Linked DNA regions of Nothobranchius furzeri. The protein of the gene in region 1 binds, or shares a complex with, the protein of each later gene. Links are inferred from orthologs where the notes say so. Each region holds a gene or a part of one and is shown on either strand. Other genes may lie near its edges. The genes, in order: ncf2 and rac2.

Region 1 (2,962 bases):
TTAAGTAATACTTTTCAATATGTGTTTTTTTTTTCTGACAGAAACAAAAGCTTTTCAAACCGGTGGAATTCCCTTTGAAAATGCTGTTTAGACCAAACAAGCACTATGTGGCTGAGCTGGAGAAAAAGGACTACCTGGGCAAAGCTAAGGTATGCATATAACAACCAGACCAACAATCACAGATTTTAACATAATCCATTTTAATTGTGGATTATTCAGATTTACAGATATATATTATTGATGAAGAACGGCATAAAACTCCATTTAAAATGTATTTTTCGAAACATTAGGTTGTTTCCTCTGTGGTTCCACAAGATGAGTTCTCTGGGTTTGCCCCGCTACAACCGCAGGTGAGGAATCAAATCAAACTGAGACCAATAAAGTCCTCAGAAGATAAATAAATGTTTCATTAGCCTCTAATATACCAGGGCAGATCAAATCCACTCATGACGAGGGGAAGTCTGAGCAGCGTCATATGTACATTAGTTCTTTACGATGTGAAATATAAAGCCTTTTTGCAATGGTGGTTAAAAGTGAAAGTCCTGTATTTTGTTAGGTCGAAGATGGTCCAACTTCTCCAAAAGAACCAGAAGTTTTGAGGTCAGTTTGAACATGTATTAGATTTTCTTTTGCTGTGATCTGAAAGTGAACATGTCCCAAATAGATAAACCAAACAGCAGATAAAATATAATCATCATATTCTAATTGTTCTGTTTCTCACGAGGACATGTGGACATCTCGTCTCCACAGAGCTCTACAAGGAGAACCACACACCGTGCTGTTTGAGTTTGACCCTGAGACCAGTGATGAGTTGGCTGTTGTGCCAGGAAACATTGTGTTTGTGCTGCAGAAGGGTGACGACAACTGGGCCTACGTGGTCTTCAATGAAAGAGTAGGACTAAAATCAGGGATGGGCTGAATTAGTAATTTATGTTTTTAAGTTCTATTGATTATTATCCAGTATGATGTCGATTACAGAGAGGACTTGTTCCTTACAATTACCTAGAGCGTTTGGAAATTTCCTTGGCTTCAAATCAACACAAGGTAGGGCTGCTGTATCAGTGACTTCCTGTTCGGCATCATTTTCTCTGGACATAGTCCAGAAAAACTCGTTGTTCTTTAAAATTTACTTAGGCTACGTTGAACAGTATGGAAACTTGACTTCTTTAATGTTTTTTTTTTCCTTTTCCCATATTTTGATTGGGAACAATTATCAGGGTTTAGCCAGACCTCTGAGTCAAGAACCACCAACCAGACCTGAGAGGAAAGGTAGATCTCACAACTACACATTTGTATTAATGCTGCCATTAATTTGTGTAGCCCAAGCTGAAACAGTCCCCTAACCATACACGACCCCTGGTTTGGGTATACACTATAAAACCTGCTTTTATTCCCATATTTTTCACAAGACTGATCCATTTATCACAAGGTGATAAGAAGTGAAATATTTTTGTTGGGTAATAAAATGTGATTTACTTTTATCTCATGCAATACATACAGTGGGTATGGAAAGTATTCAGACCCTCATCATTTTTTCACTGTTATATTGCAGCCATTTGCTTTTTTTCCCCTCATTAATGTACACATGGCATCCCATATTGACAGAAAAACACAGAATTTTAGAAATGTATGTATTGAAAAAGAAAACCTGAAATATCTCATGGTCTTTAGTATTCAGACCCTTTGCTGTGAGGTGCTTTCCATTTCTTCTGATCATACTTGTGATGGTCCAACACCTTCATTGGAGTCCAGCTGGGTTTGATTATGCTAACTGGACTTGATTAAGAAAGACACACATCTGTCTATATAAAACCTTACAGCTCATGATGCATGTCAGAGCAAATGAGAATCGTGAGATCAAAGGAACTGCCTGAAGAGCTCAGAGACAGAATTGTGGCGAGGCACAGATCTGGCCATGGTTACCAAAACATCTCTGCTGCTCTTAAGGTTCCTAAGAGTACAGTGGCCTCCATAATCATTAAATGGAAGATGTTTGCTTCCTAAAGCAGGCTGTAGAAATTGTCACTGCAGCCCTCCACCAGTCAGGGCTTTACGGCAGAGGGGACCGTCGGAAGCCTCGCTTCAGTGCAAGACTCGTAAAAATCCTCATTGAGTTTGCTAAAAGACACCTGAAGGACCCCGAGATGGTGAGAAATAAGATTATCTGGTCTTAGACCAAGATAGAACTTTATGGCCATAATTCTAAGTGGTATGTTTGGAGAAAACCTGGCACTGCTCATCACTTGTCCAATACAGTCCCCACAGTGAAGCATGGCGGTGGCAGCATCATTTTGTGGGGGTGTTTTTCAGCTGCAGGGACAGGACGACTGGTTGCAATAGAGGAAACGATGAATGCGGCCAAGTACAGGTATATCCTGGACCAGAACCTTCTCCAGAGTGCTCAGGACCTCAGACTGGGCTGAAGGTTTACCTTCCAACATGACAGTGACCCTAAACACACAGCTAAAATAACGAAGGGGTGGCTTCACAGCAACTAAAAGGCCCAGCCAGAACCCTGACTTAAACCCAACTGAGCCTCTCTGGAGACCTAAAAATGGCACACTGTTCACCATCCAACCTGACAGAACTGGCGAGGATCTGCAGGAGGAATGACAGGATCCCCAAATCTAGATGTAAGACACTTGTTGCATCTTTACCAAGAAGACTCATAGCTGTACTAGCTCAAAAGGTACTTCTACTAAATACCGAGCAAAGGGTCTGAGTACTCAGGACCATGTGATGTATCAGTTTGTCTTTTTTAATAAACCTGCAGAAATCTCTAAAATTCTGAGTTATTCTCTCAATATGGGGTGCTCTGTGTACATTAATGAAGGGATAAAGAATTTAATTGATTTTACCAAATGTTTGCAATATAAAAAGAGATGCGGCAGGGTGAGTGTCCTGTCACAGGGTCCCGATTGATCATGTGCCCTGGCTACTTCGCCAAAGGGATATTTGGCTG
Region 2 (4,580 bases), on another chromosome or scaffold:
CAGTGTTTTACAAAAACAGTTTGCATGTCTTTTTTCTTCGCTTCTCTACCGCAAGCTGTCAGTAACAAGCGGAAAACCTTTGCAGCCTTAGCTCTTTTTAAACACAATCGGTTATTAAAAGGCCCCCGTGGCTCAAATTTGAGACACTGGAATGTATACAGTATAAATGCATTTTGATGTCTAATTATTAGGGAAAGCAAAATGACAATGAATGCTGATAGACTAAACAGCTGGAATTCAAATAAAAAGTTTTACTGATATTTTGGGGTGTCATTAATGCCATGAAGTTCATTATTTTGTTTTTACAACGTGATTATTTTTTTTACTGTTTTGCTGAAACATTTTCTGACATAGTATCCCTAATATGTCAGAAAATCTGATTTAAGTTTCAAGCCACAATAATAAATAATCCCACTTTAGGAAATCAGGGAGTTGAAACATTTTTTTCATCGCAACGTTTCAGCAAATATCTTAAATAATCATTGTAAAGCAAGAAAAGATTAAATCAGGTCTTACCCATTTTAGAATCTGTCATTTATATCCCAAAACAAATGAAAAAACAAATAAATGACAGAAAACTCCCTTGGCAACACAGTTGAGCATTAGGCTGCTTCAGCCTCCAGCGCAACAACTGAATGAAATATTTAATTACTTGAAGCCCCACCTCTTCCTCTTCCACGACAGGTTCACATGAGCACAAAGACAGACAATATGACCATCCTTCAGTACAAAAACATCTGGTTTAAGTACGCCGTGCAGCCCTGCACGTGGTCCTGAATAAATGATTCACTCAGAGCTCTAATACTGGGACTTTGATGTAAAGGTAATAAAGTGGGTTTTAATCTGGCATCATTTAGTTATTATAGTAAGAAATTTCTATTGTGTAAAAAATTAATCAGATTTTTCTTTGTTTTGAATATTTTTATATTTTTGTTTATCTAGAAATAAAACATTATTAGGAAACATTAGAAGGAAACCAGTAGATTACATTATGACCCAAAAACTGAAAATGAATGCCACCTGTGTTTTACAGGCCATTTTACCTTTCCCAGTCTAGGCTTTATCGTGGTGCCAAGGCGCCACCTGATGGCCACACCATGGTGTTACCTTCACCTCTGGTTTGTGACTACAGATGGTGGCTTTGAGTCTTTGTTTTGCTAACACCAAGTGTCACTCTAAAAATAACAAACCTTTGCGTAAATATAAAAATAAAGTGTAAATGCAATCATGTTTTGCCTGTGTGTGTGTGTGTGTGTGTGTGTGTGTGTGTGTGTGTTTTATGGTAAGCGACTCCGGTGATATTTTTTTAGTTTATTGTCGGCATCCATAGAAGCGCAAACGAAGTAGTAAGTTTCAGATAAAGCTGTTTTTATCACTTCAACTCCTTCCTCATTTTGCTCCGTGCAAAATTAAATCCATTTCAGCTTAAAGTATTGTTTAATTAATTCCCATAACTGAAATAGTGAATGGTCTATTTTAGGAGGAAAACTACACAAACAAAGGAGTAGAGGAAGGCAGGGTGAGTTATAAAACAACAGGTGGGGAGGCTGTCAAAAAAGAGGTAGCTCAGAGAGCGGAGAGGGAGGGAGGTGTGCAACAGTTTCCTGTAGTTGCATGCTCAGCTCTGAAACTTCCTCTGTCAGAGAGAAGAGGCGACGCTGAGCAGAACAGGATGCAGGCTATCAAGTGTGTGGTCGTAGGAGATGGGTACGGCTACATTTTACTTCACTTTATTTGTCCTAACTTAAACCGTGTTTACAGGTACGGAATTGGTCCCGATCATTCATGATGGACATGTTTGGACCTGAGTTCAGAATGTAGGAACTGGAGGACAAAATTGTCAAATCAAATAAGAGTTGCATCTACTTCCGCAGTGTCTGGATTCGTTGGGGGTAATTTTCTTGTAGAACATGTTGGTCCCAAGGTGTTTGTTTGACAGCACCGATCAGAGAAGTGGATGAGCTGTGCAGGTCACAACATGTAGAAAATGCTTCTGAGCAGCAAACCTTTAGCACAGGCCCCCTTTCTTCTGAGGAGGAGCTGAGAAATGTCAAGAAACAGCTGATTAAGGGGAACACCAGACAGAAATAATCAAAAATACTGAAATGTGAACTTATTTGGCTGAAACGGTGTAGGAAAGTTTGAATTGTGTCAGTATCCACTTTATTAACATGTCTCCATATTTAAAGCACAAATAAGTAACAGTAAAGAGACCATTTGTCATAAAAAGCCACATTAGTTTTGTGTCTAAGAGATCAATAACAGTTAGAGCGATGGAAGAGCCTCTCAGGTGCTGAAGCTGCTCTTCCTTGTGTGCTGAGCTTCCTGTTGTGTCTGATTTAGAAATGTAAAGCGAAGAAGAAAAGGAAGTTAGTGTGAACACGTGAACTTGTGTGCGTGACAGAAGCTTGGTGTATCTTTAGGTATTTTTTAATAAATGTGTACACATGGTCTCGTTCCCTCAAGGCAACAGGAATCAGAACCGCAGGGTTAGGTGGGGGGTCGCAGAAAATGATAATGAAGAGGAATTTGTGTGGGATGATTATTGGGTTTTTGATCAAAACAAACACATTTTGAAAACATTTTTTTCCGACAAAGGTCATGAAGTAACTTGTTAGAATTAATTCTCGTAATTAATTAAGACAATCTGTCAGTGGAAACTGGTGATATGAGTCATTTCTGCAGCACGCTGACTAAAATCCAAGCATCTCCTGTAGCAGAGTTTTGTTTTCTTTTCTTTTGTCTGAGTTTGTAACTCCACCATTTCAGTTTGAGCCTTTGTGGTGGAAACCCTTTAAAATAATCCTAACAGCTGGGATGATGGAGGAACACGTGTTTGCTGGTCTGACAAGAGGAAGCTTGTGTTAGGTTGGAGGGAAGTGTGTGAGTCTGTAGGTAGCCTTTGTGTGTAACTTTTTAAAATGTATTTACAGTTATATGTTCACTTGCAAAACTTTGAATTTTAACTATAAAATCAGAAGTTCATAAGTTGGCAGCTTGATTAAAAAAATAATAGATCACATGTTCTGGTTAAAAACATTGTAAAAACTTTAATCCAGAGATTTATAGTCACACCTAACATTCATGACTCACCCAGCTTAACTCGCAACGGGGAAGGCTGTTGTTGGTTTGGCGTGCAGGAAACAGCAGTAAACGTCTCAGCTAGGAGAAGCTATCTGTTAGCATTCGCAAGTCCACCACATGGCAGAACTCCTTCAGGTGTTATTTGTGAATAAAACATCAACGTTGCACAACAGAAGCAGTGGTAGGGTTGCGTTGCTGTTATCCAATCAGAGGTGAGATGTCCAAATATCAGGATATAAGACTCCAAATCCTGCTGAAGCTCAGCTGTGATGTGGCAATCTTGTAGTTCCTGCACGAAACAGGCGCGCCAGAGCTTTGTTTCCCCAGAGTACGATTCACAAGGCATTCATTACTACTAGAGGCCACTGCAAATGTATTAAAACTGAGCGAAGGACCTCGTTAAGTCAGAAACAGTGATAACACCACTGGAACTTAACTGCAACAGAGGTATTATTTTAAATTTCTTAGACTAAATGGGTTTTTCCATTAGTTTAAGAACCAATGTCCACCTAATCACCACAGATACTTAAAGTAAACATGAGGCAATGTAAATGACGAATTGTAAAAAGAAAGATACAACTTTACAAAGGGTTTCCCTTATGAGTGGCTAATAAATAGTTTATAAATATGTTATTAAGGACGAGAAAGAGAACACTATTTTGGCTCACCATTTTGACAGAAGCTGGTCACTTTTTTCTCTTTTCCCCCTTTTAAAGTATAATAAACACTGACCATAATTTATTGTGTTACAGATTTATTAATAATTTAAAATTTTTATTTATTAGCCATTTATAATTAGAGCCACAATGTAAAGCAGTAAAAAAATAATTAGTTTGATAAGAACGGAATTTTGTTCTGAGTGAGAAATTATGACACACCAAGTCTTACTGGTGGTATTGTGTTCAGATGTCGTCATGTATTCCTGTGATGTAATCAGTTGTGCAAAATTAGATACCGGTAATACACGTGACCTGGAAGACCATTTCAACTAAACTATTAAAGCTCAATTTTAACTATTAAATCTGATTTTTTTAATAATCTCAGTAACTGTGAGAAACAAATGAATAAACTCCACACAAATATAAAAAACATTACTTTGATTATTTCTTTGTAGACCATGTTACAAGTGCTGCCAAATCTCAAACTGTGAACATATTTATTTTAAAAATATGCTGCAAAAAATTAACCTAGCAGTGTTAATGGTCACTGCTCAGGCTACAGCTAAACATGTGCATAACAAACATCTTAAAGGGAACATATTATGCAAAAATCATCTTTTCCATCCTTTAATGCTGTGACATGTGTCCCTATTGCTTGTATAAATGCTCCAAACATTAAAAAACATCCATCCATCTCTCAGTTTGGTTTAGAAATTATGCCCCTTAAAACATGCTGTTCCAAAAAGTCCATGAATCTTACGTTTTTTTGTTTGTTTGTTTGTTTTTACATGGAAACACTCCTCACCTCTTCAAGTTAGATGATTAGCATCTTTCCTG

Evidence for each region.
Region 2: ncf2 (region 1) and rac2 share a complex: the UniProt entries of both Homo sapiens proteins name them as parts of the phagocyte NADPH oxidase complex. The link is inferred for Nothobranchius furzeri from reciprocal best matches to the Homo sapiens genes NCF2 and RAC2.

The regions. Positions count from the first base shown.
Region 1 is NC_091747.1:36,772,696-36,775,657, reverse strand, and holds part of ncf2 (neutrophil cytosol factor 2), read left to right. Parts: intron 1-41; coding exon 42-149; intron 150-290; coding exon 291-350; intron 351-556; coding exon 557-600; intron 601-750; coding exon 751-892; intron 893-978; coding exon 979-1,044; intron 1,045-1,199; coding exon 1,200-1,269; intron 1,270-2,962. UniProt on the Homo sapiens protein: Subunit of the phagocyte NADPH oxidase complex that mediates the transfer of electrons from cytosolic NADPH to O2 to produce the superoxide anion (O2(-)).
Region 2 is NC_091744.1:132,172-136,751, reverse strand, and holds the start of rac2 (ras-related C3 botulinum toxin substrate 2), read left to right. Parts: upstream 1-1,564; 5' UTR 1,565-1,672; coding exon 1,673-1,707; intron 1,708-4,580. UniProt on the Homo sapiens protein: Plasma membrane-associated small GTPase which cycles between an active GTP-bound and inactive GDP-bound state.